Linked DNA regions of Astyanax mexicanus. The protein of the gene in region 4 interacts with the protein of the main gene of each other region in a pairwise test. Links are inferred from orthologs where the notes say so. Each region holds a gene or a part of one and is shown on either strand. Other genes may lie near its edges.

Region 1 (8,268 bases), on a different chromosome or scaffold from region 4:
TACAGGTGTCTGTTAGCTGATGTATCAGAGCAGAGATCTTGCATTGACAGCAGCTAAGGCAGAGTCTACACACACGTCATTTTGTTACACTGTGTACCTGTACCCAGACGTAATGCCAATAAAAGCCTCTAGGCTTGACTTGACTATGTAAAATAAAAATCAGGACAGAACCGTCACTCTCAACCTTCGACCCAAATGTTCTGAACAGCCTGAGTCAGATGTCAGCGGTAGTGATGAGCACACAGGGTGGATCTTTCTAAATAACTTGAGTAATCATGGAATTTACAACTAACTTCCCCATCCAGTCTGAACTTTCAGCTGATTTAACCCCGGCCTGACTGATCTGAATTATTCTACACTATAACTCATCCTGCAGAGTGACATGTGACTCAGACATGTGACTCTGCAACAGACGTTTCCTCTGAAGTGAGACAATCACATCATGCAATTTTGTCCTTTATAGACGGGAAAACTGTGTTAATCATGATTTCAGCAACAAGTCCTGCAGATTTACAGGACACAAATCCTCTCTTGCACAACATAACACTCTGATCTAAATCAGGTAACAGTGATGTAATTCATGTAACACTCTGGCACAAATCATGCAATCAAACAGAATAAACTCGGTCACCTGAACTTTTCTCCTCAGCAGGAGCCTCTTTTGAAGAATATGGTCCAGCTCCACATTTCCTAAAACAAACAGAAAGAACAAATCAATCAATGAATCAGTATTTATTCAGCAGGATGAACAGTGTTCCTGATTTCTGCTCTTATGTAACCACAAACACATGCTGTGTTGTTGCTAGGTTACCACACGATTAATATATGGCCAATATATGAGTCAACAAGTCAGTACAATACCAGTCAAATATTTGCACTGGTTACAGTAGCAGCACTGGCAGATGGTTGGTGGACGACACCTACAGCACAGGGCACTCTGACCTGCCCAGATACATTTCCCACACAGGTCACAACATTTCTAACAGAGGTCCAGACTGCGTTCCTCAACAATACACACTGTTTAAAACTGTGCTGCTGTTGTTCTGCAGTAAGTGACTTAAACTGGAATTCATCCAAAACACAGAGAACTGCAGAAAACAGATATATTCATACTCTGCTAGTACTCCACTGCTGTGTGCTGATTCAGAACAACACAACATCTGCAGAACATCTAGAAAATCGGATAAAAGTCTGATATAGTAGGGTGTAGTGTAGTGTATAGTATAGTGTAGTGTATTGTATGGTGGTGTGTAGTTTGGTGTAGTTTACCTTTACCGTTGGTGTTGTGCAGGTCCCTCTGGTTCACTGTGCTGTCCGATTCTTTTGATCTTGTTAATTTGTGGAAGCCTCTTTTTGTCGCTCGACCTTCGATCTCATCTTCATCTTCCATCTTCCTGCTGCTGGAAGACAGGAAGGATTTTGTGTCTTTCAACCTGATCTACTGCCTTGTGGTTCAATTATTATTGCACTTACAGTTGGCTAGGGCAGCTTTAGCTGGGCAAATATTTCACAGAATTCTTTTTTCTGTTACAATGCTACATTTAGTCAATTTAGTCAATGTAGTCAATGTATGTATATATAAAAAAAAAGGTATCTTTGTCTTTCTATTTGAGCATTTATATTATATTTTACCTCTATTTATTGAAGACAACTTAATTATTTCTATATACTTTTGTGAAAAAGTTTCAGTCATCATTAGGGCTGCAACTAACAATTATTTTGGTACTTGACTAATCTGACAATTATTTTACCGATTAGTTGATTAGTCACCAATTTCTCCTGCCATGTTCTCCGTCGCTAAAAACAATAGAAACAGCTAAGCATAAGATTTAAAAGCCATTTAAATGTCCAGATGTTGTTTAAACATGAAATTTTAAATATTAGTCGACAATGAAATTTGTAGCTTACAAATTTTAAATAATCGATACTGCCGATTATATCGACTAACCGTTGCAGCCCCAGTCATCATGACACATTATATGGAAAATTATGGACATTAGAATAAATATAAAAGTAGTGAAATTTGCTGTTGAAAAATACACTTAATTATTTATTTATTTTTACATTGTCAGATAAAAAAAAAATATAATCTATAAATGCAAATCGTTTTTATTAAAAAAGAAATGCTAGCTAAAGCCAGAGGTGAATTTAGACATTTAGTAGATAGATTTAAATATATATAAATATGAATATGTATATCTTAAGTTATTTTGAAATGTATTTTTTTCTACAGCAAACAAGTTACAAGTTCAAAACAAATTGTAAATAAATTCCAGTTTATAAATTATACAAAATAATAATAATGACAAAATAAACTAAATTGTATATATTTTTTCAAATTTAAAATCTGATCCATACATTTTAAAACTTAAAAAAAATGAAATACAAATTCTGGCCAGGAGTCAAACATCAGTTCGTGAAATAATTTTTTTTAAATCTGAAAATCAGTCATTATTTCAAAGTGTATATGTTTTCAATAGCAAACTTACTTTACAAGGTTAAACATTTTAAACACACAAAAAAAAAGCATTGTTAAAATTTGAATGTGTGCATTATGCCATTACATATTTCAAGTTTATCCAGAATCGGGTTTATTTAATTCAAATATACAGAATGCTTTTTTAAATACTTTTAATAGCTTTTAAGGTCTGCTTTATACTTTGTTGCCACCTTGGGGGATCTATACTTTTAATGTTATGGATGATTCTTTTAATGTTATGGATGATTCTTTTAATGTTATGTGCGTCTCTAATATAAAATACTGAAACACTGAAACTTCATTGTGATTCTATTCATTCTGTTCTGTCTCGAGCCACACTCTTTAACATCAATAAAAACATCAAAGCATGATCTCACACACCTGTCTGTGGAGGATCAAAGTGGTATAAAAATGTCGTCACAAATTAGGTCCTAGATCTACTTAATTTCACTGAGGATTAGTAAAAAAAAATCTGAGCAGGTTCTGCAGACAGAAGCGCAGTCTGGAGATGTTGTGGGTTCTGAGCGGGCTCTGGAACCCTGATCTGAAGCTGCACGAAGTGCTCGCGCTGGGTCTTCTCCCGGCCTTTGATCTTATAAACAAAAAGAACATGATGTAACTCACCTGTCAGATCGTCCCACACCTACTCAAGGTTCTGGATCTCTCTGAGAATCTGTTTAGGCTGGAGAACCGAGCAGATCAGCTGCTGAACCTCCTCATGATAAGGAAGACGTTCTGCACAGTGGGCGGGGCTACAGCTGAGTGACGCTCCCACTGTCCGCTCCGATTGGCTACGATAAGGTTGTATGACAGGATTTGTGCCAATCACTGGAATTGTTTTGAACAGAGACTCTAGATTTGACATATGGACGTCATGAAACATACACTATATTCCATATGTCCAAATGTATTTGGGACACCTGACCATTTATTTATTCATTATTTCTTCTCAAGTCAAAAAAAAGAAAAATACAATTCTGTTTTTGTTGGAGTAACTGCCTCCACTGTCCAAAGTGAGAAGATGTTTACAAACTTTTGGAGAAGAGCATTGCTGTGAGGATTAAACTGCATTCAACCACAGGAACTGAGAGATAGTGATGACAGTAAAGATATTTTTAATGATCACCACCCCCAAATCATTCCCAACTCTTCAACTTAACCCCACCTCATCCCCAACTTCCCATCTCATCCCCAATTCCTCCAACTCTTCCCCATCTCATCTCCAACTCATTGCCAAATCTCCAACTCATCCCCAATTCTCCAACTCATCGCCAAATCTCGAATTCTTCCCCAACTCTCCAACTCATCGCCAAATCTCCAACTCTTCCCCAACTATCCAATTTATCCACAACTCCACCCCAACTTCCCATCTCATCTGCAATTCCCCAACTCATCCCCAACTCTCCAACTCATCGCCAAATCTCCAACTCATCCCCAACTCCACCCCAACTTCCCATCTCATCTGCAATTCCCCAACTTATCTCCAACTCATCTCCATATCTCCACCTCATCCCCAACTACCCATCTTATCTCCAACTCATCCTCACCTTCCCATCTCATCCCCAACTCCCCATCTCATCTTCATCTCCCCACAGCTCACCCTAACTCTCAACCCCAACTATCCAACTCATTCCCAACTCTCCAACTCATACCTAGCTCCCCAACTCATCCCCAACCCCCTAATGTGAGACTTCCCACTTGAGAATCTCTTCCAGGTTTGTTTGACCATTAGAGGGTGCACTAGAGTGAGTCCGAAATAAACGGTTTATATGGAGAAATTGAGTTTATAAATATTCATTTCATTTTCATACTGAACAAGTTCTTATTTTCTCAACACAGACCAATGTCACATGTTTCAGTACCAAAATACATAATTTTCTGAAGAAAAACATATAAAATATATAGGTAAGTTTTCTTTCTTTTATTTATTTTAGCAAAAATACATTATACTTTCTAAAATTTAAGGAATATCCTGGCCAAGTCGATAGTACTGAAGTAATATTATACTTCAGTAACTATTATATAGTTTCACATTTTATATAGATAATATCATTTAGATATATTACACACAGAGCAATATATTCAGGATGATTTTAATGATTTTATTAATGCAATGTTTTTCTCGAAAATCTTACAGCACTTCATGCTTTCCTCTGCTAACAACTTTTGTGGAGAAGCGGCTTTCATTTTTTTCAGCAGGATTTGGAACACTGCCCACACTGACAAAAAGTACCAATTTGTATTATATTATATTCTAATTTTCTGAGACACTGATTTTTTGGGTTTTCTTTGGCTGTAAGCCATAATCATCAACAATAAAATAAATAAATGCTTAAAAGATTAGCCTACTCTGTGTGTAATACATCTATATAATATATGCGATTAACTGAAATAAAGTAACTTTTCAATTACATTCATTTTTTTAAGAATAAAGCTGAGAAAGAAATAATAAAGGAATAAAACTCTGAATTAAAGCATTAGCTTTAGCATTAGCGCTGTTAACCACAGTAACTGCATCACTTCCGCCTGGAAGCGGAAGAGCGTTTGTTTATGTACTGCAGCAGCTGCAGGAGTTCAGAGCGTGAGTTTAATCACAGTTGAGAGAATGTTCAGATAATTACAGAGAGAAATACATTTATTACCTTCAACTGCAGAACCGCGGCCTGTAGAACTCTAACCCGAACCGAACCGCGGGCTGTAGAACTGTAGCTGTGTGAGTGAGTGTTGTTTACGGGTTTAGTATAGTCAGTGTTGAGGATCGGTGGTAATATTAATGTGAATAATAGAGACTCTGTGGGTGAGAGGAGACTCTACAGGGTTTATTTGTGGAAATTCAGAGTCTGTGAAGGTCTGCGTTTGTAGAATAGGAGATTTGGATTAATTTTTCGGACAGAGATTAATAACAGTCCTGAACTATTTATTAATTTCAGTAGAGAGTCTCCACCCAGAACAGAGTGAAACCAACCTTTAGTCTAAAGTGAACTGAAAGTGAATTTAAGCACAGTGAGGAAGAGGAACTGCTCATACAGCTGCTTTCATTTCTATTATCTCTTTTTATATAAAAGTTTTGTTTATTACTGTCACTGACTAAACCAATAACTGATTAAACCAATCCCTGATTAAATATCTTATCAATAACAGAGTGATGGCGATGCTGAGCAGTAAAAGTGATCAGGAGATCGGCTGGATGTTGGACGATTACGGGATAAAACATGGTCCTGTAGTCGGTAAGCTTTTATTATTAATAATATTTATTTATTTGTTATTATTAATGAATAAAACATTATTATAGTGATCTAGTTTAGTATCCCTCTCACACCATTGTGTATAAATTAACGAAAAGTGTACAGAGTATATTATTATGTGATTGCAAACAGTATGAATTTTGTGGTTGTGTGGTGTGTATTATGGAAAAAAAATACAGTGTGAATTTAGGGGTGGTGTGTGGTGTGTTATGGGGTAGCAAACAGTATGAGTTAAGGGGTAGCATACAGTATAAATTTAGGGGTAGTGTGCAGTATGTTTTATAAGGTAGCATACAGTATGAATTTAGGGGCAGTGTGCAGTATATATTAAGGGGTAGCATACAGTATGAATTTGGGGTAGCGTGCAGTAGTATGTATTAAGGGGTAGCATACCGTATGAATTTAGTGGTGGTGTGCAGTATGTATTAGGGGGTAGCATACAGTATGAATTTAGGGGTAGTGTGCAGTATATATTAAGGGGTAGCATACAGTATGAATTTGGGGTAGCGTGCAGTAGTATGTATTAAGGGGTAGCATACCGTATGAATTTAGTGGTGGTGTGCAGTATGTATTAGGGGGTAGCATACAGTATGAATTTAGGGGTAGTGTGCAGTATATATTAAGGGGTAGCATACAGTATGAATTTGGGGTAGCGTGCAGTAGTATGTATTAAGGGGTAGCATACCGTATGAATTTAGTGGTGGTGTGCAGTATGTATTAGGGGGTAGCATACAGTATGAATTTAGGGGTAGTGTTCAGTATGTTTTAAGGGGAAGCATACAGTATGAATTTAGGGGTAGTGTTCAGTATGTTTTAACGGGAAGCATACAGTATGAATTTAGGAGTAGTGTTCAGTATGTTTTAACGGGAAGCATACAGTATGAATTTAGGGGTAGTGTTCAGTATGTTTTAACGGGAAGCATACAGTATGAATTTAGGAGTAGTGTTCAGTATGTTTTAAGGGGAAGCATACAGAATGAATTTAGGAGTAGTGTGCAGTATGTATTAAGAGGTAGCATACAATATGAATTCAGTGGTAGTGTGCAGTATGTTTTAAGGGGTAGCATACAATATAAATTTAGGGGTAGTGTGCAGTATGTTTTATAAGGTAGCATACAGTATGAATTTAGGGGTAGTGTGCAGTATATATTAAGGGGTAGCATACAGTATGAATTTAGGGTAGTGTGCAGTATGTTTTAAGGGGTAGCATACAGTATGAATTTAGGAGTAGTGTGCAGTATGTATTAAGAGGTAGCATACAATATGAATTCAGTGGTAGTGTGCAGTATATATTAAGGGGTAGCATACAGTATGAAATTAGGGGTAGTGTGCAGTATGTTTTAAGGGATAGCATACAGTATGAATTTAGGGGTAGTGTGCAGTATGTTTTATAAGGTAGCATACAGTATGAATTTAGGGGTAGTGTTCAGTATGTTTTAAGAGGAAGCATACAGTATTAATTTAGGAGTAGCGTGCAGTATGTATTATAGCATACAATATGAATTTAGTGGTAGTGTGCAGTATGTTTTAAGGGGTAGCATACAGTATGAATTTAGGGGTAGTGTGCAGTATGTTTTAAGGGGTAGCATACAATATGAATTTAGTGGTAGTGTGCAGTATGTATTAAGGGGTAGCATACAGTATACATTTAGTGGTAGTATGCAGTATGTTTTAAGGGGTAGCATACAGTATAAATTTGGGGGTAGTGTTCAGTATGTATTAAGAGGCAGCATACAGTATGAATTTAAAGGTAGTGTGCGATGTGTTATTGTGTAGTGTACAGTATGAATTAAAGGGTAAATTGTAGGGTGTACAATGGAGTAGCCTGCTGGGTGTATTAATGGCGTAACGTACAGTATGAATCAGTGCTGGATAAAAGGAAAAGATTATAACAGTTTTTAATGTGACGGTCTGTCAGAAACGACCAGGACTCTGTATGAGAAGAAGCTGAGAGAAGCCATGGCTAAAGAGAGAAAAGTCAAACGTCCATCAGAACGAACCTTTTACAGAGAAGGTAAAAAATATAATTTTATAAAATTACAGTTGTATAGTGTGTTTAATATCTTTTAATCCAGGCTTACCATTTAGCGCCAAGTTCTTTTAAAGCACCACAGACAACTGACTTTCTGTGTGTATGTGTGTGTTGTACACACTCTGGACTGATCAGATGGATCTTTAAGTGTTTATTGATCTACAGATGTATAATGACTGGTTTATAGAGGGTGAATTTGCTGTGATTTGTGTGTTTTAAATCCTGATCCACTGGATCAGATCAGGAGAACCCTAGTAAAAATGCTCTGAATCAGTTTTACACCTTTAATAACTGTCTGTCTCTCTTTCAGAGGAGAAAGACCCCTACGTTCATTATCGCCGACCGGTAAGTCAAACCTCTCACCTTTAATTCTACCAGTTCTCTTTTATCTAAGAGGTGATGAGGATGATCTCACTGTTTTCTGTGTTGGTACAGTTGAGGCAGGAGGGGTACGGAGGTGATTGGAGGTAATTACGTTTTAAGTTTCTGCTCCAGCTCCTGCTTTAATGCTC
Region 2 (7,560 bases), on a different chromosome or scaffold from region 4:
GAAAAGTTTAAATTGAGAAAAGTTATTTTTTCCATTGCATAAATTAAACATTTTTAATGTACTTTTGTGTTGCTACAATTTTTGTTACAAAAATCTTCTTACACATTTTTGACTAACTCGTTTCCAAAAAACTGTTTTAAGTGTTTATTCTGGTAAATTTAACTAGTTAAATTAGCTAGCTAGCATTAACCTAGCTATCTAGATAGACTTTTGACATTATGGCAGCTAGCGTGTTAGCTTAGCTAGGTTAACCAGCCTATCTAGCTAGTTAGGTTAACTATTTCTACACTGTTTTAATGTAATAAATATATTATTTGCATTTTTATGTTGAATATAATAATAAATTCTGAAAACACTTTTCCTAAAATAGTTTTGTTAACTAAGCCAATCGTAGCTTACGTAACTGTAACTTTTCCTGAGGTAACTTGGTTAGCTTAGGTAGGTCAAGTTAGCTAACTAGCTAGGTTAGCTAAGCTAGCTAGTTAGCGTAGCTAACTAAAAGTTTAAATTGAGAAAAGGCGAGGTTATTTTTACCATCTCCTAAATTAAACATTCTTAAACCTTAAACCTACTTTTGTATTGCTATATTTATTGTAACAAAAATCTTTTTACATACAAAAATTTTCTTTGCATTTGTGACAGATTTTTTTTCTCCAAATAACTAACTTAAAAGTTTAAACTGAAAAGGGTTATTTTGTCCATTTCATAAATTAAACCGTTTAAGGTTAGATGTACTTTTACATTACTTTTTATTAGCTAACAACAATTTTTGTAACAAACATATTCTCACAAAGAGAGTTTTATTTGCTTTTTTGACTGGCTCCTTTCCAAATAACTGGGTTTTAAGCGTTTATTCAGGTACATTTTGTTAGATGGGTTAGCTAGCGTTAACCTAGCTAGCTAGGTAGACGTCCGGCGGCTAGCGAGTTAGCTTAGCTAACTAGGTAAACCAATCTAGCCAGCTAGTTAGCGTTAACTGTTTCTAAGTTGTTTTATTGTATTAACTACATTTTTATGGTGAATATCATAATATTTTTAAGTACTTGTATTAGCTTACCTACATATTTACTCCAGGGAAGCCTAATTAAGCTTTTATAGCTAACTAACTGTTAGTTGACATAGGTTGGCTAAGCTAACTGGCTAAAAGTTCATATTAAGAAAAGTGGCGGTTATTTTAACCTACTTACGCCTGAACTCTGCTGATCACTGCATGGCGTCCGCGGCTCCTTCTCCCGCTCTCTGCCTCTCTTTTCTCCTTCTCTTCAGTTCGCAGAAGCAGTTTGTTCAAACTTTAACATCCAAAATAGCTCCATGGTGAACGGCGGTTGGTGTAAGAAGCTTCAGCTACAGTCAGAACTCCGAGCGAGGAGCTGCTGAAGAGCCCGTCTCTCTGCGCTCAGCCTCGGTCTCCTCACTCACAGCAACAGCAGCATCAGCAGCCGCACTTCACTCATTCTCTCAGCTCCAGGGAGTTTATAGCTATATATCCCAGATTTTTACATTCACAGCAGCCTGCGACCACCCCGGTTCCACCACCACCGCTTCCCGCAGCTCACACACATTATTTCAGTTTTTTCTCTTTCAGAAAAGGAGAGATGGGGGGAATAAACCGCGCGCGCGTCCCCTCCCGCCCGCGCGCATCTGAGCTGAGGGATGGGGAAGGGATTACGGCGCGAGAGACGCGCTCTGTTTTTAATTATTGTGATTATTCATCACTCTTAATCACAAACGAATAAATAAATATATAAATGAGTAAATAAATAAATGCCGCGTGAATGGATAATTATGTGGGTAATTACGTGGGATGGAACGTGTAGAGTAGCCTATTCTTTCATGGGTGACTTCGGTTTTTGCTGTGAATTTGTTGATTTTAACCTTCAATATCAATTCAGCAAATAGTATGTTTAGCACAAGTTTTACAACTTTCATCAAGCTGTTTTGGATCCGTTTTTTTTAGCGGGTGCCGGCATTTTAACCAGCATTTAATAAAGCAGGCTCGCTTTTCAGCTGCCGGGGTTGGCCAAGACTTCAGTTTGTGCACTTTTACGCGCCCCATGCGCTTTTTTTTACGCGTGCCCTGCGCTTTTACGCGCCCTGTGCAATTTTAACGCATGTCACACGTAAAAGCGCACGAGGGTTCTATGCGCTTTTATGCGTGTTTGTGCGCTTTTATGGATTCCGGGCGCCTTTACGCATCCCGTGCGCTTTTATGCATCTCATGCGCTTTTATGCGCCCTATGCGCTTTTACGCGTGCCATGCGCTTTTACGCATAGTGCAAAACAAGATAAAAACAAGATAAAAACACTCTCAACAACAAAAGCACTACTAAGGTAGAGATAATGGTGTAATTCATCTGTAATTTTTAATATTCTAATATTTTTTTGAAACATTGTTTTCGAATTTGTTCTGTTTTTTGTGATATTTTTTTATCCACATTATAAGCAGTAATATACGAATTTGCTCTCTTTTTTGAAGTAAAAGTAAAACAATTTCACTTAAACCCAGTTATGTAAAAAACAAACAAAATAGCTACACGAAAGTAACTACACAAGTGTATTCTGGTGTTTTTTAACAAAGAAATTCTATTCTGTTTATAGACTTTAAACCCAAAATCCAGATATCTCACTCTCTGGGAATATGATAACTAATAATTATACAACTATTAAAACAACTTAACTTTCAGTGAAAGTTAGTATGAAAAGATTTAGTTCAACGCAAGAAACAGCTTAAACTGTTAATAACTTAAATGCTGCAAAAACCTAAAAAAAAATGAATTTTTGTGGAGATACACAGCCCAGCTGGCCACCAACGGCAATAGACGTTAATTTCATGTTGAATGTTGGTCATGACGTCAGATGACAAAAAAATTACGCCAGGATAACGTCTAATACTGTTACGTGCCAGCGTGGAGAGATTGGATATGAGGAATTTGCTCACGAAGCTGGGTTGCGGATACATCAGAGTTTCAACAAACAGTTTATTACTCTCAATCGGCCTAAAACAAAACACCTTCTTTAAGGTGGTGCTCCTGCTGCTGTAGACTACGGTTCTTCAATCCTGGTCCTGGCGCCACCTGCCCTGCTAATGTATGGCTTTCTCCTCTCTCAACACACTTGATTTAATTCAACAGCTTACTAACAAGCCTTGTCAGAGTTGAAGTGGGTGTGTTAAAAAAGGATTTTCATTAAAATTTCTTATCAAACATAAAAAAACTTTTTATCTAATGCTCGAATAGAAATCCTCAGGATTTATTCATATAATATCAAGCAGAAAAGTGTCAATCGAGAAAATATTATAGAAAAATACATACTAGTAAACTAGCTCGTGACCAGCATGGTGTATGTTTTTTTTTTTCTGGATGACCAGCTAACATTAATCTGTATTTTTAAAAGAATAATATATTTCTATGACAATTTCAGATATTTAATTGTTAATATTTTAGTGCAGGCATCAATATAAAGCTCTGGAAAAAATAAGAAATCACTTAAAAATGATGAGTTTCTTTGATTTGACCAAATTGAAAACCTCTGGAATATAGTTAAGAGGAAGATGAATGATCACAAGTTATCAAACCAAGCTGAACTGCTTGGTGGCATAAAGTTATCCAAAAGCAGTGTGTAAGACTGGTGGAGGAGAACATGCCAAGATGCATGAAAACAGTGATTAAAAACCAGGGTTATATACCCTGATTTCTGAACTCTTAAAACTTCATGAACATGAACTTTCTTTGCATTATTTGAGGTCTGAAATCTCTGAATCTTTTTTGTTATTTCCATTTTCAACCATTTCAATCATTTTCTGCAAATAAATGCTCTAAATGACAATATTCTTATTTGGAATTTGGGAGAAATGTTGTTAATAATTTATAGAATAAAACAATGTTAATTTTATTCAAATATAAATAGCTAAATCAAATAAACTGATTGAGAAACTGAAGTGGTCTCTTAATATTTTTTTCAGAGCTGTATATGACATCAGCTGTCGTACCACCATGGGTTGCTCTGTGGTTTAAGAGCAGCTTGCCTAGAAATATTAGGAAAAGAAGCATTAAGATTTGATGCAATATCGCCCTCTTCTGCCTCATATTTACAGTGACATCACTGAGGATGGCTGCAGTTTTCCCGGGTGTCTATATGGGGCAGTAGAGAGCCAGTCTGACTGTTTCTCCGTTTCTCTGTGGAAGAGAGTGAGACTGAAAGGAGTTGTGTGTTTTTCGGGCTGTGTTTTTTATTGATCTGCTGCAGTCATGTCGGAAAGAAAGGTCTTAAATGTAAGTACATTAAATACTCTTCTATTTCTACTTGTGATTAAATGAAGCAAATGAATAAGGAAGCGATAGGGTTAGTCAGAATGCTAATATGCTAACCTGTTAGCTACATGAGGCTAACTGACTAAGTTAACCTAGCGCAGGTCTGAAGATAGCTACAGACACTAGCTTAGCTAACCCAGGTAAACAGATAACCCAGGTAAACAAACACAGATAAATACATAAACTCGAGTATCTGCTGTTAAACGAAACTATTTACACAACATAATTTCAGAACGTGATAAATTGAGGCTAAACCCCTGTAAGACGTTTTCATTAACTTACCTGGCTAGCCTAACAACTATTTTGTGTTAGCTACATTTCTAAATTAATTTGTTTGATGTGTTTTTCCTTATATACTGTTAAATATTTAGGTCAGATTTAGAAATATACTTTAGAATTAAGTTATTAAAAGGTTCACGAACTTTCAAGCACAACTACAGCTACTTACTTCCAATACATTTTAAAGTACAATGTTACAGTAATAGTCCCTCGAATAGTTCACTCGAATAAAATATTATTTTGCTAAGGTTGCACAATATTTCATATATATAAAAAGAATATCCATGTTTTCAGTAGAAGTGACCAGAATTAACACGTTTAAGAAAATGGTAACCTGTTTTTTTAGTAATTATGTCATGTAAAAAAATAAAAGCACCACAGATTTCCGTTTGTATCAAACACCAAAAAAAGTCGTAACATTACATGTTTGATATAATTTGACATCCTACCTGATACCTGCACAACTTGAGCAGATTTCTGAGCAGAATTGAGCGATATTTCTGTTTGGATCAATTTGTTTGACTTGGTTTTCCTTATATACTAATATGACTTGTGTCAGATTCATGCAGAAATATGACAAAAAAAAAAAATAAAGGGTTCAGAAACTTTTAAGCACCACTATAACTACTTTTGTCTGTGCACATGCACAACTTGAGCACATGCTCATACTGCTGCATAAAGATAAGATACTCTTTTCATAAATGTATAGCAATAATTTTAGAAAATCTAGCATGTTTCTACATGTTCTTGGACATACGTTTTGTGTTGTTGTGATGACTAATTTGTTTACACACTGCATGGTATTGCTTTTGTAGAAATACTACCCCCCAGATTTCGATCCATCTAAAATCCCCAAGCTCAAACTGCCCAAAGACCGGCAGTATGTGGTCCGATTGATGGCTCCATTCAACATGAGGTAAGAGACTTAGAAAATTCATTACTTACATGACTGGTTAAATTGTGTTGTTTGTTCGTTGTTTGTTTAAATGTTTCCTATCTCTTTGCTTCAGGTGTAAGACGTGTGGAGAGTACATTTACAAAGGGAAGAAGTTCAATGCAAGAAAAGAGACAGTACAGAATGAGCTGTATATGGGGCTGCCCATCTTTCGCTTCTATATTAAATGCACAAGATGTTTGGCAGAAATCACATTTAAGGTAAGCAAGTGAAGTAATAAAAAAATACATGGAAATTACATTTCCATCTTCACTGCAGTCTTAACTTTCTGTTTTTCACATTTCCAAATAGACAGACCCAGAGAACACAGACTACGCTATGGAGCACGGTGCCACAAGAAACTTTCAGGCTGAGAAGCTGATTGAGGAGGAAGAAAAGAAAATCCAAAGGGAACGAGAAGAGGAGGAGCTAAATAACCCCATGAAGGTAATATTGAACAACTTATTTTTTATTTGCAGCATAATAAATACTTATACTAAAGACCACCATTATTTGTTGCCTTTATTATACTTTCTACTTAACCATTAACTTTTCTCAGATACGCCAGAATTCTGTTTAGTTATCCACATGCTCTGGTGTTTCCATCAGGTTCTAGAGAACCGTACACGGGATTCAAAAATGGAGATGGAAGTCCTGGAGAACCTACAGGAGCTGAAGGAGCTGAACCAGCGGCAGGCTCAGGTGGACTTTGAGTCCATGCTGGAAGAGTACAAGGAGCTGGAGAAGAGACAGAAGGAGAAGGAGCAGGAGGAGGATGAGAGAGAGACCAAGTATGTGCTTTATACTACTTGTGCTTTATACTATACTACCCAAGTATGTGGTAAGTATAAAGAAATCTTCAGCCTTTATTTGAATCTTTCCTGGAAAAGGCTCGAAGTTGCTAATGATGAAAGTTGTTCATGCCAGAATGTCATTCCCTGGTTTGAACGTGGACGTTAAACTGTAAAACAGCCTATAGTGAATATGCGTTTACAATGAACTTATACAGAGTGTTTTAGTCCATTTTTTTCATTTTGAAACAATACACAGTACGGTCCAGTCAGAGCAGATGTCATTTGTATGTGTTAGGTTAGTAAGCAGTTGAAGATGCAAAAACAAGCTTAACTTTTAATGGCAATCAGTGTGTACAAGTTTTGTTCTCTCAGATTATGGAAAATGAAGAAACTGGTGGGATGATGCTATTTTTATAGACTATATGAATGAAAGAACTGTTTGTTCTGTTCAGGGAATGTCTTCTAGTTTTATGAGCATTGCTGTGAGTATTTGATACCCCTCTATCCTACACCTGGCATTGGGCAAGGTGGCATGGTGGCAACAGGTTCATGTTTATTTGCTCCAGAATGTAATATTCCAATAATAATACTTGTATGTTAAAGGTTAGACAAGCTGGCTGTATGCATACATTTTAAGAACTGTCCATGTATTTCTTAAAAGACACTTTTAAAAGACACTTGGTCTCAAAAATGTTCACATGTCTATTTTCTTTTTCCCCCCTCCGCTTTTTTTATTTCCCTCTCTGCAGAGAAATGCTGGATAGAGCTTTAGTGAAGAGGTTGAGGGACTCTGACTCGGACTCGGACTCAGATCAGGAGGAAAAGAATAGAAAAGAGCAGCAGAATAAAAACGCTGCTCTGAAACCCACAGATATCCTGACTACAAAGGAAGGAGCAGACATAAAGGTACTTTAAGGAACAAACATATCCTTGCTGCTGCCTTGTGAGGAGATGGACAGTGATATTTGAATCTTACTGCTGGTTTTTACAATCTATGAAAAACTCTGCATAAAGAATTACATTGCTTAGGAATGTTCATTTTCTGGAATTGGAATTAAGTTTTACAGAACAAATTTGTTTGTCCATGAGATTAATTTGTCTTAATGAGATATGTAATTTTAGATTCTAGTCAACTCTAGGTTCTGAAATTTTTGTTTGTCCATTTTAGCTTCTTTTTCCCCAGATTTCACACATATAAATCTTCTATTATCTTCCATTTTTGGTTCAGTTTTGCCCATTTTTT
Region 3 (8,494 bases), on a different chromosome or scaffold from region 4:
CCTCATTCAGAGAGACAGAAGAGGGCAACCGGTCCCTGAAGAGTCCGGTCAAGTCCAGACCCGTATCTAACCTCTTTGGATAATAGAGGAACGTCTCTGAACGAGGACCTTTCCTGAAACTGTCCCAATTTTACCTCTTAGGTGCTGTCGGACAGTGTAGCATTGTTTCACCCCCTGAAGCATTCACGCGGCACTAAGCTCCCCGTTTCGCTAATGGGCTTAAACACTCAGATATGCCTGGATATCCAAGCACTTAGGCTCTTTAACAAGAACGAATTAAAAAACAAATTAGTAAAGCTTTAATCTATGTTGTGAAAATGTGACCAATAGGGATTAGCACTACTGGACCAATGCATTTGACACTTTGCTATATTTTAAGGTAGAATTTTAAATACACAGTTTAAATACATGGTTAAGATGTAGATGAAGTACAGGTATTTTATTTCAGAGTGGGTTTAGTGTTAAAATTCTCTGACAATTGGGAAAAAATAATGAGAATGGTGGTGAATGGATTTAAATTATTCTCAACATTCCATATTAAAAATGTCTATATTTCTGTTGTAGGTATAGAAGAAGGATGCTTGCATTTATTCACCACAAGTAAAGAAATCTGAGTCAGTATATTTCTCTACAATCAATCACAATCACCAAATCCTGCTCTTTTTATCTCTTTTTAACATGAATTAAGAATGTAGGTGAATCAGTGGAATTTCCCTTTAACCTGGGATGCTAGCTAGTGAATTTCTGAAGCACATTCATGCTATAAAGTTGTGAAATATAAAATATGCACGCTGCCTGCTGTAAACCTGGTGTAGTTTTTGCACGGTTCTGTTTTGGGTGTTCTGATGGTGAACAGTGTGCCTTTACTGCTCCTCCGTCTTCCGGTCCTTAACTGGATTAATGTTGCTGTTCTGATGCTTAAAAACACTTTACAATAAGGATACATCAATTAACAGCACTTCCTAAAGTAATATATATATATATATATATATATATATATATATATATATATATATATATATATATATATATTAATATCACATTATATTATGCTTTTTTTAGCAAAAAAAAATAATCACATTAATGTGAATAGCCAAAATGTTTACTTCACAAACTGTGCTTTCATTTTATTTATGATTGTTTTTTTTTATATATTTTAAAATATATATTTCATGTCAGTCTGAATGTCTAAATTTTCTTTTAAAAAAGTTAATTACTGTTACAATTCATGTAATTGTAATTTTATGCTATGCAATTATTGTTATATCAGTGGCATAAAATTGTCCTTTATTGCAATTATTTATGGGACAATATATAGACACAAATATATATTTTGTGTGACAGGCCTAATTAAATGTTTAAAATTAATATCTCAACAAATTCTTAATTGAAACTACTTAAGGCATTATTAAAAATTACTTGACATTACAAAAATGTTAATACTTAAGAAAAATGTATGTAAATTATATTTAAATGTTAGTTAATCATTAGTTGAGATGTTCTGTTATAAGGACTGTAATTAATGTAACATTTATTGTAAAGTGTAAAATGGTACTGGTGGCTTTAGATGTGCGTTTATGCATAAATGTGAAACACAATCATGACTGTTACACACCTGCTTTTAATATGTTAATATGTTTAATATGTTGTACATGCTTATTTGTAATGCACTTTTTATATATTTTTATAATCTGAATCTTGTTGATTATTTGGAACATTACTTTTGTGAATGTGATCAGAATTTAATCCTCCTGTAAAAGAGAAACTGGATCAGACTCAGACTTCACCTCCTCAGTGTTTGTGCTGCTTATTCTGTACTACAATAAATGAGATTACTGCACATATAATCATTTAATCTTCTTATTTTCAGATTTCTGTAAAAAACATATAGAATAATGTGACTGTAATATTACAATGATTTGTAAAGAGTACATTTTTTTGCCAGAAATTTATGCAAACAAAATAAAATCCGCTATCATTTTTTTTTTTAAGAATTAAAAGGAAAAAGTATATGATGCAAATTCAAAAGAGAATTAAATTTGCTGTGGATTTTTTGCGGATAAAGACTTTTGCTCCTGGAATTACATTTTTTTTTGCTTCTGAGTTTTGGCACAGTTTTCACGGGTGGGTGAGGATTCAACTGATATCATTACTTAAAACAAGTATTATACTATACTATACTATACTATACTATACTATACTATTGTTACATATAAATGTATTTATATAAAATAGTCACAGCAAGAATCAACTTATAATAATGTATATAGGAATTATATTATAATAAATAAATTATACTGTAATATGAAATGAAATTATATGAGCAAATCTAATAATATGTGATGATTTTGTGTTAAATAAAGTGTAAATACATTACATTCTCATTTTGCTACACAATTAATTTTAACACACTAAAACATATTAAAACATACTAAAGTGCTGGCACATTAAATGTACATATACTCATTAATTTCTTATTTTTTCTATGTGATAAATTCAGTAAATAGAATAGAAATTGTTTCTACAATTTTATTTAAGAACAACTTCAGTTTCACACTTTAACAGTGTTTTTTATTCTCATCAATTTATCAGTGAATCATTATTTCATTATTGATCGTTTCTCAGAGTAGATAATAGTCAGCCATCTGGAGTGTGTTCATTATTTATTAGACTGAAGTTACCTGATCCTCCTCCACACATCTGATAACTGAGAGTCTGAGAAGATGAAACTCTAAACATCTGTTTTAATTCATAGTGTTTAGTTTTTCTTCTAAGAGGAAGACTTAACTTAACTTAAAATGTTAATTTAGATAAGATAAGATAAGATATTCCTTTATTAGTCCCACAGTGGGGAAATTCATAGTATTACAACAGCAAAGGGATAGCAAGGCACTCAGTAAAAAAAGAAAAGATAAAATAAACAGTACAATATATACAAATAAAAATATATAATATATAAAATATAATATTTTATAAATAATAATAAAAAGTCAGATCTACCAAATGTTCAGAGACCCAGTGTAATCATACAGTTCAGTGTAAAATATGGGGAGTGTGTATGACTGCATAAAGAATTATTTTAGAGAATATCAATAATAATATAAAAACTTTTCTTTTGTTTATGGTCAGGCAAGGAAAGTTTATTTATATAGCACCTTTTATACACAACGGTTATTTGAAGTGCTTTACAAACTAGAAAATACACCGAGAAGTCAAATAAAAAAATATATATAAATAAAATGGATACCAAAATTAAATAAGAATAAAACATGATTCAAACATGATTAAAACTATATTTTTAGATATTTAAAAGAAGGAATTGTTAAGGAGAAGGTGGGTGAAGCCAGTTATGATTTTTCCAATTTTAATCAACATGGCAACACCAATCCATGCCAATCCATACTCATCATGCTCATCTGTAATCAAACTGTACTAAAATAAACATGTTAAACTCTGATTTAGCTTCATTTTTGTATTTTCTGCTGAGTGTATGTGTTCTTCAGTCCTGTCCTACATCTCTATTTATCTATTTATCTGTTAACACTATTTAATTTGCTTTATGTTAACATTAGTGGGACATTGAGTGAACAGTGACCTATAAAACCAGTGAGCTCATCACTGTTACATCATTTCCAGCACAGATCCCCCAGGAAACTGTGCCAGTTTCTGCCAGCCTGCAGTTAATGCACCATTATGATGGTTATGATGGTGTTTTTTTGTGTTATTCGAGTTTAATTACAGAGAGAGAGAACACAACATGCACTTGTGCCCTCAGACAAATAAAACACATCAATGCTCATTACTACAAAAAACTAAAAAAAACAAACAAACAAAAAACAAATATATAAACAAACTGAGAGTGAACATTTTCTCCTTTTGTGTGAATTTGTTTTAGTTAGTGTGCAATAGAATAAGATACTGTTTACAGCTTAGTTATACATTATTCTGTACATTTGTAGTAATTAATTTTCTAGTGTTTTAAAAAAAGCACCAAAATAGAAATAAAAAAATGTAATATCGTATATATATATATATATAATGATTTTTATTATGATGGATAATAGCAGTAAGAAAAGGTTATGTATTATAAATGAAGGTATTGTAACACTACACCGCCTGATGGCGCTACTGCTCGGCTTTGTGAAAGAAGCTATCACGTTTAACGTTTCTGACCCCTGCCATAATAAAAGTCCTTTATGTATTGAGTTAATGGGACGTGCCCTGAATCTAGTTCGTCAGGCTGTTTTTTTTATTTTACAGCATGGTATTTTTTATTATTGTATTTTTGTATATTTATATTAATGTAGTACATTTTGTATTCAATGTTTATTTAATTTATTTTCAGCACTGTTTATTGTTATTATATTAACATTAAGTATGATGAAAGTGTAAATGTAATGGAAGCCCATTTCCGTCACCTAAAAAAAATACAGCACATTCTTTTTTTATTATTAAGGAAATTCATCTCATTATTTTTGAGATAGTAAGTCAAAATAAGTACTTACTATCTAAGAATATGGCTTGGAATCTTAAAATAATGAGATAGTATCTTAAATTAAGGACTTACTATATCAAAATAAGGAATAACTATAGCAAAATAATGACTTAATATCTTAATCTAAGGACTTATTATTTTAAAATAATGAGAAAGCAGTTTAATAAACAATAAGAAAATAATTTAATAGTAATAGTGCTGTGTGTAAGTGTGTAAAGGCTGCAGTAGAGAGTGCAGTAACACCATCTGTACCAGCACTGCTTTACTACAGAATAAGGGTTTGTAAATTTACATTGTTTAAAATAAATTTTCAAAGCTCAGTTTATTTACAGTACTACTTACCAGATGTAATATATTATTATTATCATTTTCTTTTTTACAAATATTTACAATATACAATTTTTAATGGCAAAATATTTTTTTTTCTTTTCAACTTCAGTCTTTGGTATAAACAAATGTCAGACGGTATAGATAATTAATATAGATATTTAATTGTTATAGAGCTTTTATTTTGAAATGTGTGTGAGCAGAGCGCCGGGCGGTAGTCGGTTGCTGCTGGATTCACTGTGCGGCTCTGTGTGAGGGACGCTTTCAGGCCTGAAGATGTAAAAATACAGAAAATAAAACAGAGAGACAGACAGACAGAGAGAGAGAGACAGAGAGACAGACAGCGCGGTGTCTCCGGTAGGTTATTGGTTAATAATGTTTCTGATGGTTTAGTAATTGCATCAGTAAAGGATAATCAGCAGCTGGATTCAGTAAATAGTGATTCTCTGTTTACTCTATCAGAGAAGATTCAGGATCTGTGATTAAGGTTTGTGTGTTTATCTGATAAAATATTTCACATTTAAGCTCAGAAATCTCATTAAAAACGTGTTTTTTAGTAAAACAGCGCTAAGGTTCATTTACTATCTAACCTGTAGCTACATAAGCTAAGCTATCTGTTAGCTACATGAGTAAGAGGTTAATAACAACCGGGCTGCTGTTTCTCCTCCTCTGTTACCGGTTTTGACCCCAAATTCCTCTCAGAACTCCGGTAAAATAGTGCTTCAGATATCTCCCAGTTTATTTATCACCATTTACTGTGATTATTTTCTGTGTTAAAGCTTTTAGAAGCTTTCAACTAGGTAACCTAAATCTAAAGGGTTCAGATTTATGTTTCCATTCATAGTTCTATCAGTGAATGAATTGGAGAACTATGAAGTGAATTTTGTGCCAAAAGTGTTTGCAAAAAGTATATTAAGTATATAAGCAAGTATATATATTTTTAAATGTACTTGGTTTACTTTATTATTATTATTGGCAGTTATTTTGATAAGAATATTAGTTTGGATTTTTCCGTTTTTCCTTTTTTTCCTCTGTGTTTTTGTGGAATTTTGTGGATTTTTCTGTCAAAGACTTTTGCTTGTGGAATCTCTTGTTTGATTCTGCTTCATTTTTTTGCTTCTGAGTTTTGGCTCAGTTTTTACTGGTTTTACAAAAATTAAGCAGAGACGGGCAAAATTCAAATGTCTGGAAAGAATAATAAAGTATCCAAGTATTTTTTATAAATGTATATAATAATAATAATAATAATAATAATAATAAGCTTTATTTATATAGCACCTTTCATACATTAAAATGCAGCTCAAAGTGCTGTACATAGAAAAAGGCAATCAAAACACTATTAAAAAAGGAAAAATGGAGAGAAAAAAACTGTAAAATTAAAGATAAAAAGGAACATTCAAATAAGATGTAATAGAAAACAATATAATATAAAATAAAACTTATAAACCTTAAAATGACAATAATACTAATAATACAAAAAAATGTATATGTATATGTATAAATAAATAATGTATATGTAAATGTATATATATTTTTCTCTTTTGATTTTGCCCCATACACTTTTTTCTTTTGATTCTTAAGATTTTGATTGCGGATTTTATTTTTTTGCGTAAAACGTTTGGCACAAAATTCACTCCATAGAGAACCTTTACATCCCTGTGCTCCAGTAAGGGGCCACAAAATGATTTCATCAGTCACAAAAAAAAATTAAATGTGCAATCAAAATGTTGAGAGATTTTGTGGATCATAGTGACAGCAACTTCCATAAGACACTTTAAAAGCTGCAGCAATCCACAAAACAAAATATGTTACCAGAAGAAAGAAATACAGAAAACAGGAATACAAGGAATATGTAGCTCTGAGAAGAGACTCGATAAGTAATGTAGGCGTTAACTTTTGGAGATATTAACTCCAGATTCAGTTCATCAACCAATGAATGCATGTTTGGTATCCTAAAGAAAGGGTTTGTTAGCAGTGTTAGCCTAGCATCTCCTGCTGTAAACCAACAAAGATTCGTATTAGCTAAGTATTCCTTTAAACCCTCCAAAATGTGTAAATATATTAATATATATGTATTACAAATAAAACATTAACAAAAAGAAGATACTTTCAACTTCTTTTTCTGTCTTTAGTCATTTTCACCATTCACCTCATTCATACTCCCTCTGCTTCACCTTCCAGCTGCTTCCAAAATGACCACCATCATCCATGACACCACGGAAGCTGTGCATCTGTGTCAGGAGTACCACCTCTACCTGAAGCCCATCGCCAAGATGACCATCAGCGTGGCCCTGCCTCAGCTCAAGATGCCTGGCAAGTCCATCTCCAACTGGGAGGTGATGGAGAGGCTGAAGAACATGGTTCACCCGGAGCTCTTCTCCTCGCTGAGAATCTCCAAAAGCACCATGGACTTCATCCGCTTCGAGGGCGAGGTGGAGAATCGGGGAATCGTTAAGAGTTTCGTGGCGAAGCTGGACGGAAAGAGCATCAAGCTGAGCGGCTTCACCGACATCCTGAAGGTCCGAGCGGCGGAGAACAAGGTGGACTTCCCCACCCGCCACGACTGGGACTCCTTCTTCAGAGACGCCAAAGACATGAACGAGACCGTCCCCGGGGAGCGTCCGGACACCATCCATCTGGAGGGACTCCCGTGCAAGTGGTTCGCCCTGAAGGACAGTTCTTCAGACCGGCCTTCAGAAGCTGTTCTTAAAATCGTGTTTGAGAACTTCGGTAAAATCCGTAACGTAGATATCCCCATGCTGGATCCCTACAGAGAGGAAATGACCGGAAAGAACTTCAACACCTTCTCGTTTGGCGGCCATCTGAACTTCGAAGGGTACATCCAGTACGAGGACCACACCGGCTTCGTCAAAGCCATGGACACTCTGAGAGGGATGAAGCTGATGTATAAAGGAGACGATGGGAAAGCTGTGGCCTGCAACATTAAGGTCAGTTACCTGCAGCTAGGGCTGTGACGATAATTTTATTACCGCAATACCGCGGTTATGGGACGTCACCGCGGTGATGAGCTCATTACCGTCATTACCGCATTTTTTATGGCTGTCAAATCTGATTGACTGCGTTTTGAGCGGTAGTAAAATGCTCCATATAAGCACAACTGTGGTGAATTCAGTATTAATATGTCAAGTGTAAGTCCTACACTATAGGGCTGTGCAATATATCAAATATATTTTGATCGCGATAGATATTGGTGTCAAACGATCTCAAAATTCATAATATCGAATATAAATTTTTTTGTCATTTATCTGTGCTGCCGCTGCACTGGCGCGGCAGCGAATGGGTTAAGCAAAACGCGGTGCGTGGTACTCATTGAGGTCAGAACAGCTCTGGAGTCTCCTGCTCACTTCGTCTCCATTGAGGCTGCTGAAGAGAGTGAAGATTAGCAGCACTAATATTGGCTCGGAAATGGAAGCTACAGGGCAGGCTCAGTAAGTTGAGAAAAAAGGAAGAAAAAGACTCAGAACAGAATAGAATCATCTGCAAGATTTGCCGGAAAGTGGTGTCTGCACCTCTCGCCAACACATCAAACTAATTCACCCACCTCAAGGTAAACCATAGAGCCATGTAAGGTGTTCCGTGGTCACATTTTGAGAAAGTAAAATATATTAATTCATTGTCTGGCTGCTGGCTGTTCTGCGTGAGCACCGCGGA
Region 4 (8,280 bases):
AAAAGTGGGAGACTGTTTGAAGAAGTTCATTCAGAGACAGGTCTTGTCAGTGTGAACATGAGAGGCAGGGATATATAAGGACAAATTAAACATTTCTTCCAGTTTAAATTGTCTTCCACAAAGTAACGTTTGCTAAACTGTGGTAAGTTGTTGCTCAGTGTTATTGGCTTGTAACCCTTTTGTTGCTTAACCTGTAGTATTAGCCATACCTGTCAAGTCTCCCGTTTTGGCCGGGAAACTACCGTATTTTACTCCTCTTTCCCGCCGTCCTCCCGTATTAGTATTTTCCCGTAAATTTCCCGTATTATACTAAATAAAAAAATATATAGGCCACAGGCGACAATGCACTGACCGCTGTGTGTCTCTTAACCAATCGTGGTGCCGGTTCAAGTAGAAAGTCCCGCCTTTCAGGAGAAACAGCCAATCAGCTAGCTGGTTTTGCGGAGCGCAGTTTAGTGTGCGGGAAGCCCCGCCCCTCCCCTCGCTGTGAGTTCAGGCAGCTAGTCGGAGCAGCTGTCGTTAAAACTAATCTGGATATACGGAGATTTTTCTAAAAGAAAGGTAACTAACCATGTAAACTGTGATGAGATTGTTTCTGATAGCTGGTTAAAAAGACTCTTCTCTGAATCAAAACACAAATTAAACCCACTGTGTGTTTAATAAAATACAGCTTGTGACTCAGTTAGCTTAACTTTAGAATTAGCTAGATAGATATTCAGGGTTTGAGAAAAATCTACATATATATATATATATATATATATAATGCCCTGCCCTGATGTGCCTGATCAGCCAATAACTATCATTTCCAAACTCTATTAGTTCAGGGCTAGTTTTAGGGTTTGTTAGAATTTGTTTAAATCTCAAGTATTGTGGTAATGTATTATAATGTAATGTAATGTATTATTTAGAAGGGGTAGAAGAGATGGTTGAGCTGGAGAGAGAGAAAATGTGGAGAGGGCTGAAATTAACTGAACTGATCAGGAGTGGACTGAACGATAGAAAGAAGTATTAATGAAAGATTATTAATTGTGTAGGCCCCTTAGGACTATTATTTACTTATGGAATATATCTGATCCATGTCCTATTTGTAAATTTGTGCACCCTTCAATTTCAATTTTAAGTCTATTAAATAAATAAAAATAAATAAAAATATATATATATATATATATTTTTTTTTCCCCCCTCGTTTGGGCTGTTGGGGCGGCGGAAAAAATCCCTTATTTTTAAGTCCAAAACTTGACAGGTATGGTATTAGCAGCTAGCTGTTAAACAAGCTACTAACTTGGAGCTAATCTCTCCTAATACAGACTTCAGCATGTATTTTATGAATATTTCATTCAATAAGAATGGGAAACACAAAAATGCGTTGTTTTCTGTTGAAGACACATGCAACATTTTAATTAGCTTACTTCATACATCAATTTTAGCCAGTATCATTAGCTCTGACTTTAAAAAGCAGTCTAAAACCACCGCCTGAACCTGATTTATAGAAAACGCATGGATTGATGTGATTCTTGGAGTGTTTATAAAAACAGTCGTGACCCAGATGGAAATACAAAAGCACGCAAAAAGTGAGTTTTGCATAATATCTACCCTTTAAAGGAAAGCAGAGGGCAGGAATATTATGTTAAATATGAACAATGCAGACTTAGACAAGGTTACGACTAAGTATAAATTGACAAAACTTCATGCAGCCTTTCTAGACTTTTCCAGAACGCTCAGACTATCAGTCCGCTGCCGTCTTCAGAGGAATACATACTAAGATATAGGATAATGGGCTTACTCGTTTATGTGTCTTTTCTGCCCTCTTGTGGACACATTTTACCAGTGCATGCAGCTCCACATTAACTTACAGTATTTACATCCTCATTTAAAGCAAGTTTGACTCTATCTATCTATCTATCTATCTATCTATCTATCTATCTATCTATCTATCTATCTATCTATCTATCTATCTATCTATCTATCTATCTATCTATTACACCAATTAACGTTACACCGACACTTTAATTAATAAAGTCCCTTAATTAGTTATGATTTTATATAACAACATTAATTAATGACGCTCCAGCTCATCCCAACTCACCTCAAATCACCATCTCAGTTGATAAGGTTTAGATCAGGTTTAGATTGTGGAGGATAAACATTATGTTTACTACGTAAGTACTAGTTTCCTTATGTGTCGCTTAATTGTTTTCATGTGATTAAAATTACAAAGTAAAAACACTGTATATTTTTTTATTCCAAAAGCATATACAAAAAGGAGAAAAAAAATAAAATAATAAAAAAGGATAATGAAATACTTAAAAAACTAAGGTATCACACAGCAAACTGCAAATCTGTACAATAATAATAAAATAAAAATAGGCGCTGGGTTGTTAAACACAAAATAGTCCTGTAATTTGTACACAGATTTAACACATTATTTTAAAGAAAAATTAATTATTTTTTAGTCAGAGCGCGCGGTGAACGGACAGGGGGCGTGGCTTCGGCTATCTTGTCCTCTATTGGTCCGTTTTCCGGAATCGAGCTCATGTGTCACTTTTGCAGTTATTTTGAAAACCCCAACAAAGCGCTCTCTGTTTGCGGGTCAGAGAAATAAAACCGACCTTAAACTAAACGATGGTCCTCCCGTAACTTTCTAAGGTAGGACTAGTCTCAGTATTCCCGCTTATGTTAATAAATTAACTTAAAATCCGTCTCATGCAGTAAAACGCTGGTGTGAGCTAAGCTAAGCTAAGATAACTAACTAACCTAGCTGACAGCAGCAGCTGTAGGTTTAGAGCTAACTGAGCTAACTGTTAGATTAGGTGAACTATAGCTCAGATAGCCTAATTAACGTTAGTGTTAATCTACTGTTTTCAGATAAACAACAGGTTTTCTAAACTCACGTAACGTTATATCTGCAGCTGAGCTACAGCTTGACTGAGCTAATAGCAGGGTTAAATTACTAAGTAACTTGTTTAATGTTTTATAAAAGTTTGCACATTGTTTTATCTATCTTACTTAATTCATCAACTTTACGATTAAATAGAAATACATTATGAATATAATATGAATAAATATAACTATAAGGTTCGGTGTAATAACTGTTCATAGTGGTGGTGACTACATTAACTAGTAGTGCAAAATCGAATATATAACCTAGGTTATTTAGTATTCTCTCTCCCATACGGTATTATCCTCCTTTCATCAAATTTGATTAATGATTCAATCATTACAAATGTACAGTTTATCAGGACTCAAACAAAACAAACATTAGGTCTTTATATACTGATATCGTTACAAAATAATCATAACAATACGATAAACAGTGTTAGATCACCTAGTTTTAAGAGTCAAATAAAAAAAATCACTTTTTATTTATAAAGCGATTGTATTACAACTGATGTCACAAAGCAGCTTAACAGAAATGTGATCACAGGACAGAGAATCAGACAACATTGGACATACAATACAGAACCCCCAGCGAGCAACGGAGGCAAGGAAAAACTCCCTCAGAGATAAAGGAGTACCTTATATCACATATACTATCACACATACTATCAAGGCTAATATATAGGGGAGGGGGACCCATTCTCCTCTGGTCAGAACTTAATCATTGGTTGTTAAATAGTCATTCTATGGTTGTTATATTCAGATAAATAGCCACACCAGCAGTGGAAGCGGTTAGAAAATTCTTAGTTAGAGTATCATACAAACTTGGATGTAATCGGTAGTGGAGAGTGAGCAACTTGTCCAATGCAGGTGGCAAAAACTGAACAATGGACAGCTGATGTGTGTTGGGTGATGGGGAAACCTGATCTACGGGGACTTCCATCAGGCCACACAGGTGACCTGAGAACCTAAGGGTCGACCTGAGGGTCAAACATCCATTAGTGTCAGTCTGGACAGGTTGGCAGTCAATAACTTGAAAGAAGGTAGGAAGTCAAAATGAATTTTGACTGGATTTATGGAGAGCAAACTATATGACAGGGAGAGAGCCAGAAGGTAACATAGACACAGAGGCACCCTGAAACACCGGCAACCACCCACTCCACCGTCCACAAACCTGAGTGACCACGTTCAGTGGGAGAACAACAGCACCAGCATCTCAGTTTACCACAATTCCCTCTGTCCATGAACCCCTGGATCTGCAGCCTTATCTAAGGGGAACATTAATTACCAAAAGCTAAACTAAACAAGTACGTTTTTGAACTAGACTTCCGAGAATGAGACTATCTGAGCCCTGAACATTTTCTGGAAGGTTATTCCAGAGTTGTTGAGGTTTATAAAAGGGTTTTTGGAAACTTCTAGGAAACCAGCTCCCTGTGATTTATGTTGTTGTGACTGTTCATAATAAGAGATGAGGGCTTGCAAATACTCAGGGCTTTAAACGTAAACAGGAGAATTTTATAGTCTATGCAGAATTTGACTGGAGGCCAGTACAGTGTTGATAGGTCTGGGCTAATTATGGTCAAATTATCTAGTTTTTGTAAGAGCAATGTTGGGCATAAAATGTATTTTTAAAATCTATTTTAGTGGATAAATGCATATATGCATTACATTATAAGGCAAATTAGTCATTAGTCATTTAATTAACATTTCATAGAACAATCAGAAGACAGGTGTAGGGTTAAGGTTTGTCAATCTTAAACTAACTTTGTCAAACATTAAAATTTAATTCTGTTAGAAATGTCTTTTTCTAGCTGTAACAGCACTTTTATTCTAATTAATTTCGTTAATTTTCCTTCTTTTAAATGTATTGTTTTAATCATGTTTTATTATTGTTCTCATTTTTATTTTATTTTTATTTCCATTTTTATTTTTTATGTCATTCTTTTGCATGTTTATGTGACTCTCTTTGAATTGTCTAATTTGTAAAGCACTTTGAATGACCGTTGAATGAAAGTGCTGTATAAATGAACTTTCTTTGCTGCTGTGTAGTTTCTTGATTTTTCTGAGAGTTTACTACTTCACTGATTCTAAGATGTATTTTTTCAGAAACTCTCCCACTCCAAAAAGGTGAGAGGATGTTATAAGGGTGGTCAAATCTTCTAACCTGTGCAACAGAAGAGATCCCCTCAGAGAGGAAGAGGACACTATGATGGAAAAGGTGAGCTGCATCTTTTCTACCCATTCACTGAGCAGCCATGTGTTGTAATCCGATCTGCACCAGCCTCCCTTTAAATGAAGGGCTGTACACCAGCCTGGTCCCCAGAGGAGCAGAGGAACTCGGCTTGGGCACCTAGCAGAAGAGAGCAGTCACCTGTATACTGTGTTCTGTATTTTCCATAAAAGCAGTCAAAAGCAGTAGTTTTTAGGTCAGTTGAGTGAAGGTGTAGAGAAGAGATGGACAGGACAGCTCTGACTGTTCGGCTTCATGCTAGAGATAAGACGTATGTCTTTCTGTGGAACTACAGTCAGTTTCAGGTAGCTACTGATGCTCTGCACAAATCTTTCCATTCTGAATCTCAGCAGTGTTGGTAAGAAACTGTGTAATGATTGAGGTGTTTGATTTTAATTTGCAGCAGGAGCAGACGGATTGGGACGCTGTTAATCGGATGCTGCAACATCATGGTTTCAAACCTGTTCGCTTTGCGGATCCAACAGAGAACAAGAACCTGGCAGGTATTCTAAGTCTAGTTTTTAAAGGAGTAGTTCACTTCAGAATCTGTCAAACAGCCATTATTGGTATAATGACATATTTGATATGTGTTGTGTGCTTCTTTAGTTAGTTATGAGAGATGCTAGGCTCACCCTGCTCTGCACATTTATTGCTTTTTCTTCTCTTAACACACCTGTTTCAACTAATCAGTTAATTGACAAGTTCTTACAGAGGTGCAGGGGTGTTTGTTAGCCTTTCATAAATATCTGACGCACATTTTTTCCTTCTCCTTGGTGTAAATTAATTCTGATCTGGCTGTTGAGGCTCACTTGCATTGCTAGAAATAGGAAATATTTCGAATTTTAGTACCACTTATGGCTGTGGACAAATAGCATATAAAAGTGACCCAAATTGATTTTTTCCCTTGTATGTGACATAAGCCCTATTTGGACAGGATTAGTTTCTCAGGTGGCTGTCTGTGAAAAATATTTCACACTTCTACTCTTCTCAGTGAGTTTTATGGTTTTCTCGGTCACATGACATTGCGTTCAGTAGCTCCTCCACTTCTACTCGTTGTTGTGTTTACGTGGATCTCCGTGGAAACATGCGCCCAAAGTGTAATTACGATGCATGGTAGTGGACGCGAGGAGATGAAACTCAGAGATGTCTGTCTGAACATGACTAAAATTATCGGAGGAACACGGAGTTCACCGAAGAAGTAGGTAATTTAACTTGTCATTTTCTCAGGACGTCTGAGAAAAACACGTATATGGTCGTTCTGAACAGAAATAAAATCACAGAGGACCCCCCTATAAAAGAGCAAATTACCCCAAGACCCCCTGAGAAATAAATCCCGCTTGGATAGAGCTAAAGATGTGTTCTTAGTTTGGCAGTATAAAAGGCAAAAAACTGACAGTTTCAGTTCCGATTTGGGTAATTTTCCATTGTGGTATTGAAATCTGATACCTGTCTAATTTGTAGCAAAGCAACTCAGTCTAAATAGACAGACAGGAATGTATGTGACTTTTACGTCATTTATGGAAAAAAATGGCAGTAAGGAGAAGGGGAAAATGGACAACAGCAGTGAGACAGGGGTTCAGTTGCTGAATAATGACCTCATAAAAGATAATAGCCCTATAGATGGGGTGAAGTCTTCTTTTAAACGTAATTCATAGATTGTGTCACAACCACTCAGTGTTTCTAATGAAACATCACAGGATTCCATAACTGCAATCTGAATGGAAGTCCAGGTTTCATCTACTGAAACTCCTTAATAGCTCCTGTAATGCGGCTAATGTGAAACTTAAACATCATATAAAGTGTTGCATCAAAAATCTGATCTACCTAAAGTGGCCCAAATCAAATATTAGACTCAGTGTGTTCTTTGGATTTCACACTGCCACATAGATCAAATATCTGTGTCACATTCAACAAAAAAGACCAGATTGAAAGATCTGCTGTGTAAACCAGGTTTAAGACACACTGATTTAGTTTTAGTTTGTTTTGGGCACAACATTACACTATGACTGTTTGTATCCGTGTTTGTATTGATAAGTTTTCTATTTAATCAGATCTAAGCTGTATTGTTTGTGCTCTTTAGACCTGGTTCTGCTGGAGAGAACATCATCAGCTGAAATGCGGAACATGCTGAAGACAATGTTGACAGATTCTGAGAGGAGGCAGGCCCTCATCCAGGAGCTCATTCAGTCCAACAGCCAGCTGAAGTAAGACATGTTCTACAGTATTATTTACCCAAACCATGTTTTTATTTTCTGAAATCAGGACTATTAGTAGTGATGCATTAATTTTTATTAATTTATTTTTTATATATAAATGAAACTGAACTAAAGTAAACAACTGGCTAAATGCTAAATACTAAACATGGCCTTACACTGGATTTAGTAAAATTACCGCTTTTTTCTACTGTTGCATTATATTTCTTATATCATGGCATTAAAACATTTATTTTATTATTTTATTCTAAAGATTAATTTATTCCAGCCGTACTGTTCTGGTCACACAAAACCTTGAGAGTGCTTTTCTTTTTTAATCTTTTTTTTATTTATCTTTTTTTTTTTAATTTATTTTATTTATATATTATATATATTTTCCACCATTTCTCTCCTATTTACACAGCCAATTACCCAACCCACTCATTAGGACCCCCCCAATCACTAGTAATGCCCCAACACACCAGGAGGATGAAGACTAGCTCATGCCTCCTCAGGGGAAACACTACAATTTGACTTAAAATAAATTATTAAATAAATTATTCTGTATAATTTAAATTATTCTGTCTTTTCATTTATTTAGTTTCTAAATATTTAGTGCCTCTTCAGCTATTAAGTGGGAATTGGTCCTCCTGTAATGCAGTAACCACCTCTTCTCTTCTGAAAGGGCTTTACGCCAGAATTTGGAACATTGCTGTGTAGAGTATTAGATTGCATTCAGCCACATGAGAGCAGCAGTATCAGTCAGGTCAGTTACTGATCAAGTCAAGTCAAGTCAAGAGGCTTTTATTGTCATTACATCTGAGTACAGGTACACAGTGTGATGAAATTACGTTCCTCCGGAACCATGGTGCAACATAGAACAACAAGCAATAGACAACATAAAATGCAGGAGTGACGACAGTGCAACGTAAAATTATAAAATTATAACACTAAATAACAATAAATACAAAAGACGAGACA

Evidence for each region.
Region 1: the proteins of cep70 (region 4) and uncharacterized protein LOC103043983 interact in binary tests that used the Homo sapiens proteins (3 or more experiments, as listed by UniProt). The two-hybrid records come from large-scale screens. The link is inferred for Astyanax mexicanus from reciprocal best matches to the Homo sapiens genes CEP70 and EMD.
Region 2: the proteins of cep70 (region 4) and yju2 interact in a two-hybrid assay, tested with the Homo sapiens proteins (2 studies listed by BioGRID and IntAct). The two-hybrid records come from large-scale screens. The link is inferred for Astyanax mexicanus from reciprocal best matches to the Homo sapiens genes CEP70 and YJU2.
Region 3: the proteins of cep70 (region 4) and akap17a interact in binary tests that used the Homo sapiens proteins (3 or more experiments, as listed by UniProt). The two-hybrid records come from large-scale screens. The link is inferred for Astyanax mexicanus from reciprocal best matches to the Homo sapiens genes CEP70 and AKAP17A.

The regions. Positions count from the first base shown.
Region 1 is NC_064419.1:7,954,514-7,962,781, forward strand, and holds the start of uncharacterized protein LOC103043983, read left to right. Parts: upstream 1-4,965; 5' UTR 4,966-5,060; exon of another isoform or gene 5,061-5,196; intron 5,197-5,620; 5' UTR 5,621-5,624; coding exon 5,625-5,706; intron 5,707-7,642; coding exon 7,643-7,738; intron 7,739-8,066; coding exon 8,067-8,101; intron 8,102-8,191; coding exon 8,192-8,223; intron 8,224-8,268. Other genes in the region: soat1 (sterol O-acyltransferase 1), read right to left, coding at 632-690, 1,270-1,390. UniProt on the Homo sapiens protein: Stabilizes and promotes the formation of a nuclear actin cortical network. Stimulates actin polymerization in vitro by binding and stabilizing the pointed end of growing filaments. Inhibits beta-catenin activity by preventing its accumulation in the nucleus.
Region 2 is NC_064411.1:46,961,636-46,969,195, reverse strand, and holds the start of yju2 (splicing factor YJU2), read left to right. Parts: upstream 1-4,140; 5' UTR 4,141-4,247; coding exon 4,248-4,271; intron 4,272-5,404; coding exon 5,405-5,505; intron 5,506-5,599; coding exon 5,600-5,744; intron 5,745-5,835; coding exon 5,836-5,970; intron 5,971-6,132; coding exon 6,133-6,314; intron 6,315-7,066; coding exon 7,067-7,223; intron 7,224-7,560.
Region 3 is NC_064418.1:639,560-648,053, forward strand, and holds the start of akap17a (A-kinase anchor protein 17A), read left to right. Parts: upstream 1-5,008; 5' UTR 5,009-5,179; intron 5,180-7,003; 5' UTR 7,004-7,014; coding exon 7,015-7,770; intron 7,771-8,494. Other genes in the region: sowahca (ankyrin repeat domain-containing protein SOWAHC), read left to right, coding at 1-83. UniProt on the Homo sapiens protein: Splice factor regulating alternative splice site selection for certain mRNA precursors. Mediates regulation of pre-mRNA splicing in a PKA-dependent manner.
Region 4 is NC_064430.1:21,251,586-21,259,865, forward strand, and holds the start of cep70 (centrosomal protein of 70 kDa), read left to right. Parts: upstream 1-5,123; 5' UTR 5,124-5,331; coding exon 5,332-5,412; intron 5,413-5,510; coding exon 5,511-5,610; intron 5,611-7,187; coding exon 7,188-7,311; intron 7,312-8,280.